Mus musculus: one gene and its partner. The protein of the gene in region 1 interacts with the protein of each later gene in a biochemical or structural test. Links are inferred from orthologs where the notes say so. Each region holds a gene or a part of one and is shown on either strand. Other genes may lie near its edges.

What was found. The genes of interacting proteins can lie anywhere in the genome.
Region 2: the proteins of Sirt1 (region 1) and Rps19bp1 form a complex in vitro, tested with the Homo sapiens proteins (2 studies listed by BioGRID and IntAct). The link is inferred for Mus musculus from reciprocal best matches to the Homo sapiens genes SIRT1 and RPS19BP1.

The regions. Positions count from the first base shown.
Region 1 is NC_000076.6:63,323,437-63,330,416, reverse strand, and holds part of Sirt1 (NAD-dependent protein deacetylase sirtuin-1), read left to right. Parts: intron 1-4,230; coding exon 4,231-4,378; intron 4,379-5,211; coding exon 5,212-5,291; intron 5,292-6,263; coding exon 6,264-6,450; intron 6,451-6,980. UniProt on the Homo sapiens protein: NAD-dependent protein deacetylase that links transcriptional regulation directly to intracellular energetics and participates in the coordination of several separated cellular functions such as cell cycle, response to DNA damage, metabolism, apoptosis and autophagy.
Region 2 is NC_000081.6:80,259,117-80,266,636, forward strand, and holds Rps19bp1 (active regulator of SIRT1), read right to left. Parts: upstream 5,191-7,520; 5' UTR 5,163-5,190; coding exon 5,111-5,162; intron 5,002-5,110; coding exon 4,867-5,001; intron 2,279-4,866; coding exon 2,181-2,278; intron 2,015-2,180; coding exon 1,868-2,014; 3' UTR 1,498-1,867; downstream 1-1,497. UniProt on the Homo sapiens protein: Part of the small subunit (SSU) processome, first precursor of the small eukaryotic ribosomal subunit.

The DNA.
Region 1 (6,980 bases):
CTCAGAACTGTAAGGGTGCTTTAGTTCTTGTCTCCGTATCCTGGTGCTGGGATTAGAGGATGGCCAGACTTTGCAGCTAAGGTGTACTATTGGAAGCTGTGCTGCTACACTGTTTAAAGAATACCAGTCAAAGATTGTTTTAATGGATGCAGGACCCTGGTGTATCATGGTGTCTACTATAAGTAGACACAGATTTAGGAAGGCCAGCAAGTAAAAGTTACTTTCATCTTATACAAGCATAGCTGGTTAGTGATTATATGTTAGTATTCCCACAACTTTTCTTATAAATTCTATGTTGTGAGTTGGGGAAACTGCATTGTCATAACTAGTCTTTTTTTTTTTCCCCCCCAGTATTTTACCGGGATTGTCAAGTGCAGATACATATCTAAAATTGAAAGTTCCACATGTTCTTAAAATTACATTTAGTTATTTATTGCTTATGTAGGTGTATGGGCAAGCATCATTTTGTTCCTCTTTAGGGGATTATAAGGACTAGAATTCCAGTAAACTTAGCTCTCCAATAATGCGTAACAAGCTAACCCTTTTATGTCCCTAATCCAGGGTTTAGGAGGTGGAGGCAGAAGGGTCTCAAGAGTTAAGGGCAGTCTCTGCTAAACACTTGAGTTCCAGGCTCTCCTGGGTTACAGAGTGAAATAGCACACAGTGGTAGACCATTTTTAGCACAAGGCCCCAGATTTTGCTACCCACAAAGAATACACATGCTAAAGTATGTTTTTCCTAAATTTTAATTGTGTTTTAGGGCAGATTAAAGGCATAAAAAATTAGTTTGATTAAAAAAAGATAGATGGGATAATTAAAGTGACCTTAGTTTGTGGATGATATTCTATATGTAGACCCTAAAAGCCTCACCAGAGAACTCCCCCTTTTTATGTACCACCTAACAAACATGGGCAGGGAGGAAATCTGGAAAAAGTCTTCATAGTCATCTCAGACAACAGAGGCTGGAGAGGCGAGCCAGTGGTTATGTGTGCATGCTGCTGCTTGCACCTTTCAGAGGTCAGTTTCCAGCATCTGTATCCAGAGGCTCTACAGCTGCAGTTATCCCCAGGCCCAGTTGAGTCACGTGCTGCTGGCCTTCAGGCCTCCACTTCATGGCACCTGCACTCACCCACATCCTCTACCCCAGACATGCAGATAATTAAAAGTGTTAAAATGGGGGCCGTTGAGAGCAGCACTTGTTCTTGCACAGAGGATCAGAGTTTGGTTCCTACCACTCACATGGTGGCTCATAACCATCCATTACTCCACTTCTCTCCAACTCCCCTTTCTGTCATCCTTGGGCACCAAGCAAGCATGTGGTACATATATATTACCTTCAGGCAAAGCACTCATTTATATAAAATTACTTCTTAATATAAAAAACCAAGGGTTAGGTATGGTAGTGCAGGTCTTTAATCTCAGTCCTTTGGAGTTAGAGGCAGGTGGACCATCTAGGGCTACATAATAAGACCCTACCTTTAATTCAGTTTTATCCATATGAACTATGTATAACATGAAGTATGTGTAATGCTCTGCATTATCATATGTGTGTGAGTTTTGCATGTTCATGTTCAAGTTCAGTAAGAATTAGTTCATAGCTTCCCTAGTTGAAATTCTTTTATTTGGTTAGTCGGTTTGGCATACATACTATCAAAATTATTTCCTGAAATGTGATGAAATATTGTATAATTCTCCATGAGTGATGACCTATGGATTACTTTAAGTGGACAGATAAGTGCATTTTTTATGGTATACATTATATTGTATTTATAGGATGGCTATATCGTTAACATCCATTACTTTACATAGGTATTTCTACTCTTACATCAAGACATTGTAGATACACAATGTTAGTAATTGTAATCTCTAGTCTAAATATTGTTCTCCCTCAGAGATTATGTGTCGGCTCACTAGCTTCTTCCCAATCTTACTCTACCATATTAGCTGAGAATTAATTGTTAATAACTGGGAGCTGTCACAGGACCACTGTTTTACATTTACTATTCTGTCCTTGAGTCAGTTTTATGACCGCCACGTCTATTTACAGATCATCTTTGACTTCTTTTTCTATATGAGACCATATGGCAAATGTATAGCCCATAAAGCCTAAAATATTCCCTGTTGTGACCCTGTACAGAAAATATGTTCTGTTAAAATTAAATAACCTTCAAGAGGTAGCTGTCAAGAAATTGAGTGGAGTTTAATGAATAAGTAGGAGGAGGGTTCTTAGTGGAATTTTGTTTCACATTGCATGTGTGTGGTGTGTATGCAGTGTGCAGTGTAGATCTCTTGTTTTGAGGCAGTCTGATGTAGGCCAGGCTCTCGCCATCTCTTGGGACAGGGGATCCTGCTAGACTGTTCAGCTGGAGTCCCTTGTTTCTGCCTCCTGCATTCAGAGTTAGAGCACTGGGCCTCAAACTGACAGTGTAAATACTTCCCACTGCTCTAGTTTCTCTACCCCTTCACATTTTTATGTGCTGTTGGGATTAAACTCTGTGCCTCCCATGCCACCAGCCTTCTAGTGTTTATAGAATGAAAATGTAGGTTATAACCAAACAAACTCAACTGTTTTCCTAGGTTCTACAACTCTAAGATTAGGTGAATTTTGCCTCTACCTCCGAGTGCTGGGATTAAAGGTGTATGCCACCAACACTACGCAGGCTATTATCTTTTAACAAAAAAATTTAAACTTTTGATCTCAGCAGAATACCCAACATAGTTGGTTTCTTAAAAGCCTTTAGGATGTTTAGACTTGAGATGGGTGACCTATCTTTTTGATTTGGAATAATTAACCCATGCCCTATAAAAAAACTCCAAGCTATTTGAGTTACAGCAGAATTTTTAGATTCAGTCTATATAAGGCAAAATTTTCATTAAAAGTTTTTAGAATTTTTAGAATTTATAGAATATTTCCAGCTGTTTCTTAATGGGATTCCAGGCATGTGCCACTCAGTCCAGCTTCATGAGTGCTTTCTGAATGCACTGTAATGGAGAGCAAAATTAAAGACAGGACCATCCATATGTATATACACATAACTTCAGTTTTTGCTTAATACAACCAGAAAGATTACACCCTGGTGACTAACTTGCTTTGTTCATGTGTGTCATGGTCTATTTTTAGGTCAGTACATGAGAGCCCTCTCATTCTCTCAGTGGCTGAATATTCCACTGTATGGTTGTACCTTGCACAACTAGTTTCCGTATTGATGGACATACATATGGTTGTGTTTAGTTTTTGCTAACATTATAATGGGTTAGATAAAGCCTATAATGTAAGGAAACAGATAGTGTAAGCTACTTGAAAGAAAAAAGAAACTTCCTTGCCACAGTCACTCACTAAATGAAATTGAATAAGAACACTATCAGGAGTTGTGAGGATGAGGGGCTGAAGAGATGGCTCAGCACTTAAGAGCACTGGCTGCTCTTCCAAAGGGCCTGGGTTCAGTTCCCAGCACCCACATGGCATGTGGATCTGACACCCTCACACAGACATACATGCAGGCAAAATATCAATGCACATATAAATGAGTAAATTAATAAATGTATATATTTAAAAAGTTGGGAGGACCAAAATTGATACTTTTTCTCTGATCTTTTTGCCATGTGTATATCTGAATTCTTTGTTTTTAAAGAAGAAACAGCATTGAAGCATTATTTGGGGGGAAAAACACACACACAAAATCCAGCAACTCAACATTCATGAGCAGCTCTGTTCTATACCAGTATGTGCCTGTGCAGTGGAAGGAAAGCAATTTTGGTAAGGAATTAAAACTTCAGCTTTAAACTCCCAGCAGGTTGATATTTATCAATGATGAATCAAACAGAAAGTTTTAAATAATTCATTGACAGCCTTTTTTTTAGTTGTAAAGTCACCATACCTTTAATATCTGTAATTTCAGTGTAAAGTTTTCCCCCCTTTTTCCTTAAAGAAAAACTATGAATTTGCAGCCAACAAAGTTTAGATGTATCTAAGGTATGTATTTCTTCTGACATTAAGTAGTCCATTACGATGTGTTATCTTGCACTTCAAGGGACCAAGTTTACTAATTGCTGAGTTTTCATAAAGTAACAAGCTTTTTCTAGGGGCCATCCATTTAGATGCTTTAAAATGTTCATGTATTTTGGTTATTACAGAATATTTATTGTTAGTACCTGTTTGACTAAACATAAGCAGGATATCTGTTATGCTTCTTTCATTAATTAAACTTTTCTGCCTTTTGCATTACATAGGAAATATATCCCGGACAGTTCCAGCCGTCTCTGTGTCACAAATTCATAGCTTTGTCAGATAAGGAAGGAAAACTACTTCGAAATTATACTCAAAATATAGATACCTTGGAGCAGGTTGCAGGAATCCAAAGGATCCTTCAGTGTCATGGTTAGTGACGTCACAGTGGCTCTCGTAGGGCGTTCAATAGGTAACCGGGCTTGGAAAGAAGCTGCTGTCTAGTGACGAGACTAAGCGTTATTTAGTAACCTTGAGTGGACAAAATTGAAAAGGACACAAACAAAGCTGAAGGCCTCAGATGTGGTGGGTATACTTTGATAACAAGTTCAAGGCTAGCCTTGACTAAACAAGACACAGCCAAGCTAAGGTAACTCAGTTGGAACCTTCCAGCTGCAGTTTTGGCACTTGCAGAGTTATGTTATTGCAAATAGTAGCTTTAGAAGATAAGGTCTATATACACATGTATTAGTAGATAAACTATATCACATGTATTATATTCCTTAAATACGTCACAGGAGAGTTCAGGTTAGTCTTCATGGTGGGGCTAGAGAGATGGCTCTGCATTTAAGAGCATTAAGAGCACTGACTGCTCTTCCAGAGGTCCTGTGTTCAATCCCCAGCAACCACATGGTGGCTCACAACTATCTGTAATGAATGCCCTCTTCTGGCATGTAGCAGTGCAGGCAGATACAGCATTCATACATAAAACTGTAAAAAGTCTTCATGGAGCAAGCCACAAATAGCCCTTCAATAAATGTTCTATTTGGTGCTGGAGAGATGGCTCAGTGGTTAAGAGCACCAACTGCTCTTCCAAAGGTCCTGAGTTCAAATCCCAGCAACCACATGGTGGCTCACAACCATCTGTAATGAGATCTGACGCTCCTCTGGTACATCTGAAATCTGAAGACAGCTACAGTGTACTTAGATATAATAATAAATAAATATTAAAAAAAAAAATAAATGTTCTATTTTGGTTGTTTTAGGTTCCTTTGCAACAGCATCTTGCCTGATTTGTAAATACAAAGTTGATTGTGAAGCTGTTCGTGGAGACATTTTTAATCAGGTAATTTAATTCATCTCATTTTAGGAATTGTGTAAACTTCACTTTTGGTTGTATCTTCATCCCCCCCCCCCCCCCCTTCTGAGAAGCATGAGTGTTAGAAATCCTGATGTAAACAGGTCTTTTTTGCAAGAGCATGTTAGAGCACACTTGAAGGCTGAGGCAGGGCACTGTAAGAGTCAGGCTAACCTGAGCTGGATAGCAAGAGTCTCATTTTTTAAAAAAAAAGTTTTTCTGTTGCTCAGTTGGTAGATCATGGCTGCTTAGCATTTGTAGTCCTGGGATTGCTCTCCTGCCTGAAATCCTACCATTTAAGGAGGTTGGAGAATAAGAAGTTGAAGGTCATGGTCACCTACAAACTCTTTCTCAAACCAACCAACCTAAAGTCCTCCTTAATACACCTAAGCACCTCCTTATATAATCTAGGCCTAAGTCACAAGTTGCAGGGAACACCTCTGGAATTAGTCTTACATTAGTTGTGGTAAGATTTAAAACACTTTTCAAAATGATAATGAAGTATTTATTACAGGAAAATATAGCAACACACATCCAGATATATGTTTTAACTTTGAACTCATGTATAACCAGGAAAAAAAAAGACAGTATACTCAAATGGAGTCATTTTCATAAATATTTTTAAAAGGTCTTGTTTTCATTCTTTACCACGCTCTTTGCATATTTATAGTATCTTGTGGGTGCACAGTGCGTATGGGGAAATGATAGCATGTGTGGAGACTGGATAAGAGAGATCAGGCTGTGGAGGTCAGAAGATCAACCTGGGAGTCAGTTCTCAATTTCTACCTGGGAGTTAAATTTGGTTGTCCGGCTTGGTGAAAAGTGTCCCTGCCTGGTAGGTCACCCACCCCCAGGCTCCACACTGGCTCCACAGCAGACACTATCAAATTCACAGCGCTTTGTTTGCTGGGAATGTGCCGAGTGCTAACCTGGGCTACTTGACTTTCATGTTTTGTGCAGGTAGTTCCTCGGTGCCCTAGGTGCCCAGCTGATGAGCCACTTGCCATCATGAAGCCAGAGATTGTCTTCTTTGGTGAAAACTTACCAGAACAGTTTCATAGAGCCATGAAGTATGACAAAGATGAAGTTGACCTCCTCATTGTTATTGGATCTTCTCTGAAAGTGAGACCAGTAGCACTAATTCCAAGTAAGTTGATGTTTAGGGGACAGTTGTGCATGCTGTGAGTTGTGGATCTGTGTAAGATGTGATTTTACTCTTTTCATTTAGAAAATAGTTGAAGGTCTAAGTTTTACTTTTTAGGTGATACTCATAAAGTGACATTTTGGTATGGGAATGGGACTGTGAAGACAGAATATCAGATTTTAATTGTAGTTCATATAAAATCAAAGCAAAACTGTTTGACGCATGCTTTTTAGTAGTGTGCATATTAAAGTTGCAGAGGTCAGCTTTAATTAATTCCAGGAATAGTCTCTTCTTTTTATTTTATGTGTGGGGGTGTTTGCCTGCATGTCTGCCTACTTTGGCCAGACAAGAATGTTAAGAGTGTCCTTCCAAGGGGCTGGTGAGATGGCTTAGCAGTTAAGAGCACTGATTGCTCTTCCAAAATAACACTTTAAAAAAAAAAAGTGTCGCCCCCTCCCCCAAACAGTAGTTCTCAACCTTCCTAATGATGTAGTCCCTTTTGTACAATTCATGTTATAACCTCCAATGATAAA
Region 2 (7,520 bases), on another chromosome or scaffold:
AATGTAACAACCGGTGTTTTTTTATCGGACCATAGGTTGGCAAGCACTCCATCTTTTCCTTCTCGGCAGCTAAGAGGAGGCCTTATACCAGGAAAGGTACAGGATTTCTGCTTGCATCCTCTAGGTGACCATGTGACTGAGGGTGTATGCTCCCTAGAAAGGGGCCCTAGAAAGTAAGCACTGAGCTGTTGGCTAAGCATCTTATTTGAGGAGGAGAAAATGAGTCCCCAAGGCCACCTGAATTTGCTCTTCTAGTCAGCAAAGCCCAGCAAGCATGCAGAAAGGGGTGGAGGATTTGAAGACCACCACCCATGTCCCTTTGAACAACCCATGTCACAAGAGGACAAAACATGCCATGGAAGGCCCAGAGCTCCCATCACTAGCCTATATTAAAACACACTCCCTCCCTCCCGTTCCTGTTTGCTATGACCTCCTGGATGGATTGGATGGCCATGCCTTCCAACAGGCAGAGGTCACCGGAGGCAAGCAGACTCCATGCTAATTCTGCTCTGCTGTAGGCAGTTCTGTGTTGCCATTTGAGAGCCAATGCTGCTTAAAGGCAAAGAAGAGTTGCTTGGAGCAGGGACAGTGAACCTTGTTCTCTTACTGAGGACAAAGCCCTGCCTTGTCAGGGGCCCAATTAGGGAACTGACCGATCGTCACTGAGACAAACCTCAGGAGTCCCAGTGAACAGAGAATGGAGGAGGCAGGCTCAGGGGAGAGGATGGCGGTGTGGAGGCCACCAGTTGTCTCCTTAGGAATGTGTCCATCAAACAAACAAAAAAAGCTGGGCAGTGGTGGCGCATGCCTGTAATTCCAGCACTTGGGAGGCAGAGGCAGAGGCAGGCGGATTTCTGAGTTCGAGACCAGCCTGGTCTACAAAGTGAGTTCCAGGACAGCCAGGGCTACACAGAGAAACCCTGTCTCAAAAAAACAAAAACAAACAAAAAAGGAATGTGTCCATCTGCACTGAGGGGTCTCCTGGTCCCTGTGACAGGTCAGTCCTTCCCTTGCCACTTGTTCTCCCCCAGTGTGCTCATTCCACACGATCTTTCCTTTGTGACTGGCACTGCACTGCTGGAGAGTCCGGTTTGCTCTGAGGGGCACAACCATAGCTTTCACTGCGGTCCTTGGTTGGGTACAGACTTTATGCAAACCTGTAAACCTGCTTGCTGAGGACTCCGGAAACCATGACCTAGGCCCAGATATCAAATGACATACGACTGACTTTCTGCTCTCCACTGATGCCATAGCAGATCCCAAAATCCAGCAGGGTGGAGGTGACCTTCCTGTCCACTTCCTGGGCAACTCTAGCAGCTACAGTAACTGTGCCCAGAGAGGAGGCCCTCGCTGGTAGAAGGAAGTCATTTATGCTGGGCCAAGGCTGGGGACTTTAACACGGAAACCTAGAAGAACCGAGATCCACACTGAGATGGGAAACACATTGTAACACACACACACACACACACACACACACACACACACACACACTTGAATCCACATTTGCCCAAACTCACATTTATTTATTTGAATTTCCAGCTCCTTGAGGTGGGGTCTGAGTGGGCCCAGTACCAAATAGCCCTGATAACCAATCCTGGTCATAGCTGGCAGGTCAGAATCTTTTCTGGCAGGGTGCTGATGGTTCCGCCAAACTAGAAGTCCACTTCAGTTTGAGGGAAAATTTGCTGCAGGGCTTGCAGCTCTGTTCCAGTGTCCCTGGGATAGCAGCATATGGCTTCCTGAGCCAGGCTAGTTTTGCACTGCCACCTGCTGGTCGCTCGTGGCACAGCACTGCAGGGACCCAGGACAGCAGAAGTCCAGCCAAGGAGGGTTAGTGTCTTTTGTCCCCACCATTCCTCCAGGAAGTCTAGCTGCCAAAATATTCCCTCTGGAACTTCTGGAAGTCTTCTTCAGTGAACACAGTGCCCTCAGCCTTCTTCTTCTTCTTCTTCTTGTTCTTCGTCTTGGCCACTAGCCGATCACAGGCTTTTCGGCCTTGGTTCTGCTGCAGGATCTGAAAAGGTTCAGAGTAAGGGCACAGGACACCCATCTTTGGAAGCACAGATGGAAACCTTTGAGCCCACAGGGCTTATGGCTCAGGGCAGGGCTGAGAACCGCACGGACTCTGAAGGACAGCCTCAGTTATCACCCAGGTCCCTAAGCTCACACCCTCGACAAACCTGCTGGGTCACAGACTCTGGCACGGTGCTTCTCATGCTGGTCATAAACTTCAGGTTTGCTTTGAGGTGGTCTCGACACTGCCGTTTCTGGTACTCAGCTGTGGGTGGCAGGCAGGGCATGTCATTTCAGACTCATTGTACATTAGAAGCCTTCTGGGTCCCTTCCCCTGCCCAAGGCCCCACTGTCCTTTCCCTAGAAGGGAATATTTCACAACCTGGTCTCTTCTAAACCAAATCTACATTTCCCATAAGTACTGTCTGCTGCAAATCTCATAGACCCTATTGGATAGCATCAGTTAGTCACGTGACTGTCCCCCCCACCCCCCCAAACCCACAGGGTTTCTCTGTGTAGCCCTGGCTGTCCTGGAACTCACTCTGTAGACCAGGCTGTCCTCGAACTCAGAAATCTGTCTGCCTCTGCCTCCCAAGTGCTGGGATTAAAGGCGTGTACCACAACGCCCGGCATGACTGTGTCTTAAGCCAGGCATGGCACCTGTAATCCCAGCACTGGGGAGGCCAAGATAGGAAGACTGCTCCTAGCTACACAGTCAGATCAGAAAGGGTTATGTTTAAAAACAGCATAACAAAAATCCACCACCACCACCAAATAACACAAGGTCTACCCTGAGCATAACTGTGCATCAGGCACAAAGGACACATGAGCTCCTGTTTTCATTTCTACAGGGAAGGAACTGAGAAGAACAGTAACACACATTTTAGAGGGTTTCCATTTTCTTTCTTGGGGGTTGGAATTTCCGGAGTACTGGGATTAAAGGCGTGTACCACCACCATGCCCGGCTATTGTCCTGCCTACCCATTATGTACTAGGCAGTAGACCAGCCACGAGGACCATGGAAAATCCAGGGTTGGGGATGGGAGGTTAGTCCTGTGTCTTGAGGAGTGCTTACCTCAGGACAGGAGTGAAGGGAACCCCACTCCTGTCCTCCAGTTATTGGGATAACTGGGCAGGGAGGGAGGCACCTTGACATGAACTCGTGCAAACCACTAGTGTCTGTGCATGCCTCCTAGCTCCACCTCTGTTCATAGTGTTTCCTCTTGAACGACATAGCTTTTAACAAGGACTCCCAGGCTGGGTGCAGTGGTGTGTGCCTATCATCCAGTGCTTAGGAGGCTGAAGCAGGAAGGCTGATTTAAGGTCGTGGCTAGCCTGTGCTATATCATGGCTAGCCTGTGCTATACAGTGAGGTCCAGGCCTGCCCGAGCCAAAATAACTCCCCCCCCCCCCCCCCGCCTCCAAAACTGGGAGAAACAAACACACAATGAAACCCGAGTACCTCAACTCCCTTTATAGAGCAGAGGCATGGAGTCAAAGAAGAAAGCAACATGCGTACCATCCTGTGCCCCTTCTCAAGGAGGCCTTACTACCTGTGCCACACCCCCTAAGCTGCTCTACTGGAAACAAGGTTTCTGCTTTGCAGACACTTCACTGGTAAATGATATCAACTCACTTCTGCTGTCCCTACTGGGATGGAAGGAGGCACTGTCACCTGAGCAGAGCACATTAAGAGCAACAGCACGGGGACAATTTGCCCGGCTTCCACCTCTATCACCTGGGCAGGTGCCTGTTTCTGTAACTGTAAAGTGGGGGAGAGATCTGCTCATCTCACAGGGCTGCCGTGAGGGTCAAACGAGTTAGTTAGTTTAGAAGGGTAAACTGTTGACTGAGTGCTTCATTTCATAAATGTGTGTGTGTTGCGTGCCTTAGTGTATGTATGTGCACCCCAAGTGAGCGTCTGTGGAATCAGAAGAGGGTATCTAATCCCCAGACCTGGAGTTACAGTGGGCTGTGAGCAGCTTTGTGGGCTTCTGGGGGGCTCCAGGTCCTCTGGAAGAGCAAGCAGCAAGTGCTCTTAACCAGTGAGCCAGCCCTCTATCCCTGATGGGTCCTCCATCTTGCCTCTTGCTCATCTTACCCGTTAGCCTTCTTCCAAATTCTCAAGCCTTTCTGGCTAAAACCTTCTCAGATGCCTTAACGTTGCTTCCACCTTGGCTTGTTAGTTTGATTCTTCCTCGGAGCACTGCAGAGCCTTTCACCTCACAAGCCTCACTCACTTGGCAAAACCCTGCTTGTTAGTTTTGAGACTCTCTGATGGCTGGTCTACAGAGTAAGCGTGTGGCGCACGCCTTTAATCCTAGCACTTGGGAGGCAGAGGCAGGTAGATTTCTGAGTTCGAGGCCAGCCTGGTCTACAGAGTAAGTTCCAGGACAGCCAGGGCTATACTGAGAAACTCTGTATCAAAAAGCCAAATAAATAAATAAATAAATAATTAAGAGAGACTCTCTGATGTTTCTCTCCCCACCACGGCTAGAGCTCACAAGCGCCTGGGTCTTGCGTTTCATCTGCCTTCACGATTAGGTCTTGCCCTGAACTCACCACGGAAAGACACAGAACTTCTGATTCTCCTGCCTCCACCTCTCAAGTGCAGGGATGACAGATGTGTGTCACCACTCCCAGGCTTTTCCCTCTTTCTCTCATCCTGTTAACTGCCACATAGCAGACAGCGGCAGACCTGGGAATTAGATTGCTTGGGTTCGAAACCTGTCCCCCACGATTTGAACATTCATTTTGCCTTTTCCTTGTGGAGTCTCGGGGAACGTTTGGAACTCCCGACTCGAAGGCGCTGCCCCCAATTCTAAGAAGCGCTCACAGTCTTTCTCAACTCACCTAGAGCGGACTTAGGCGCCTTTCCCTTCGCTGAGTTCCGCAGTTTCAGAGCCTGGGAGGCCTTGGCCCGCGCCCTCCGGGTCCGCTTCGCCGGAGTCCCGCTAGCCTGGACCTGGCCCGGGACCGCACGGGGAGCTACGGGGAAAGGCAGCGAAGGACCGAGTTGAAGGGCGCGCTCTCCCTCCCCACCCGCCCGGCTGGCTCTCCTACACAGCGCGACTGTCGCAGGACCTGCTCTCCTCACCCTCGGACGCCGCCAGAAGCTCCAAACCGCGCCGCACTAACGCCGCCGACATGTTTCCGAGCCCCGCCCACACGCGGCGAGCTACTTCCGCCCTGGCGGTGTTCGCTCCTCGGCAGAAACTGGAGCAGGAGCTCAGGGTTCCGCAGCGAGCGGAAGTGCTGCCTTAGAACGCAGGCTCAATGGCTTTCCTATAGCCCCGGAGGAGCGGGGAGCTAGGGGCGTGTCCAAAGCGCAGAAGCCACAGTTGTTCAATTTCTAAGCAACAGGTCTCTGGTGATCCAGGCTGTGTGGGCGGGCAGACTCGACTTCTAGCCTTACTGGTCAATTCTGTCCAGGGGCCAAGTGTGGAATAGACTGAGTTCCTGCAAAAGAAGTGATTCTTTCTACTTTCTTTTTAGACAAGGATACATCTAGCCTAGGCTGTCCTTGAACTCGATTGTAGCTGAGGATGACTTTGAACTCCTGATCCTTCTCTCTCTGCCGCCCAAGGGCCGGATTTACAGACCTAAGCCACTTTGCCGGGCTTAGACAGTTTTCATGACCTTCAAAGCATTACACCGGTCCCGTGCACTGTGAGAATCTGTGTGAGAATCAGTAAAGCCAAGGAGGTTAGGTGTCGTACTTTGTAGTCCCAATACTTGGGAGATTGAACAGAGATTGTTGCTCTGAGTTCCAGGCTAACTTGGGCTACATAGCAAGACTCTGTCTCAAACAAACAAACAAACAAACAAACAAACAAACCAAACCAAAACTAACAAAAGGAAAAAACCAAACAAAAGACCAAAAAAAAAAAAAAACCCCAACAAAGAAATAGATTTGCAAACATGCAAAATAAAGTGCTTTGTTTTGAAAAATACAGCTATTTGCTGCAAAATACTGTTTATGTTATTAAGCAATGAGTTGGTTGTCAGGCGAAACAGTAAATACTGCTGGGCACAGTGATACCAGAACACTTAGAATACCAGCACCTGGGAAGCCGAGGCAGGAGAGTGGCAAGTTTCAGGTCAGTTTATATCACATAGCTACACTCCAAATTCTAGACCAGTCTGGGTTACAGATTAATAAGAAGAGCTAGGATGTATTAATAGCTTGGCGGTAGAATGCTTGGATTTAATCCCTAGTATTGAAAAAAAAAAGGTCAGTTTTTAGTCTGATAGATCAATAAATATTACAATCAATATTACACATAGATGTAAATATTCTATCGATAAATATTACACATAAATGTTCTCTGGTTACATGAGTTCCCCCCCCCCCCTCTCAAGACAGGGTTTCTCTGTGCAGCCCTGACTGTCCTGGAACTCACTCTGTAGACCAGGCTGGCTTTGAACTCAGAAATCAGCCTGCCTCTGCCTCCCAAGTGCTGGGATTAAAAGCGTGTGCCACCACCACCTGGCTTCGTTTTTGTTTTTAATTTAAGTATACATATATTTATATATATTACACACACACACACACACACACACATATGGATTTTTGCCTGCATGTATGTCTGTGCACCATAGGTATACCCCATGCCTGTGGAGGCCAGAAGTAAGCATAATTACAGGCTGATGTGAGACGACCCCAAGTCTGCTGGAAGAGCATCTAGTGCTCTTGGTTATTTTGAGCCTTCTCTTCAGCCCTGAGTTTTTAAGAGTGAAAAGAGCGTATGACACCAAAAAGGTTGAGAACCTCTAGTCTAGAGGTTTCTTTTTCGTCACTTTCGTGTGTTTTTGCAGTGCTGATGATCAAATGCAGACTCTTGAGTGCCAAACAAGCTTTCTAACCTCCTAACCCAGAAGAAATTATTATTTTTTGGCAATGAGGAGAAACCCTGCCTGGTTTATTTCACTTGTGGAGACTCGTAACCAGCACCTGGTATGTGGGAGCCATGAAGCGCTAGCCGGTCTGTGAATGGGGAGTGAAAATGGACATCTGGACTCACTGGGCCAACAGATACTGAGGGGTTTGCGTACCTGATACTGTAGAATGTGGACACAAAGAAACAGTGATTCTCCCTGGACAACTCTCATTGTCAAATCTCTACTAAACTAGTCCAGAAGGGAGACACTTTTAATAACAAATGCTAACAAGAGTCAAGTTCCTGTTGTGTTTCACATGCATAAACTCCATTCACTGAGGTAGGTATATTGTCTGTCTAATATTTCTTGAGGAAGGAAATCAATTCCTGTGTGGCTGTCCACATTGCGACCATGTGATCATTAGGTGGCGCTGCAGGACAGCATTCTTTGGCTTCCTGCTCCACTACCTACAGTCAGAGTGGATGAATGGATGTGTGAGGTCCAGTGCTCCTGGATTGGCTCCCTGCTAGTTCAGTGATACAGCCTTCCCACTGGCAGCCAGATGATCCTCTCTGGATGGAGAAATTGAGGCAGAAGCAACAAGCTGGGCCTCCCAGGATAGAGGC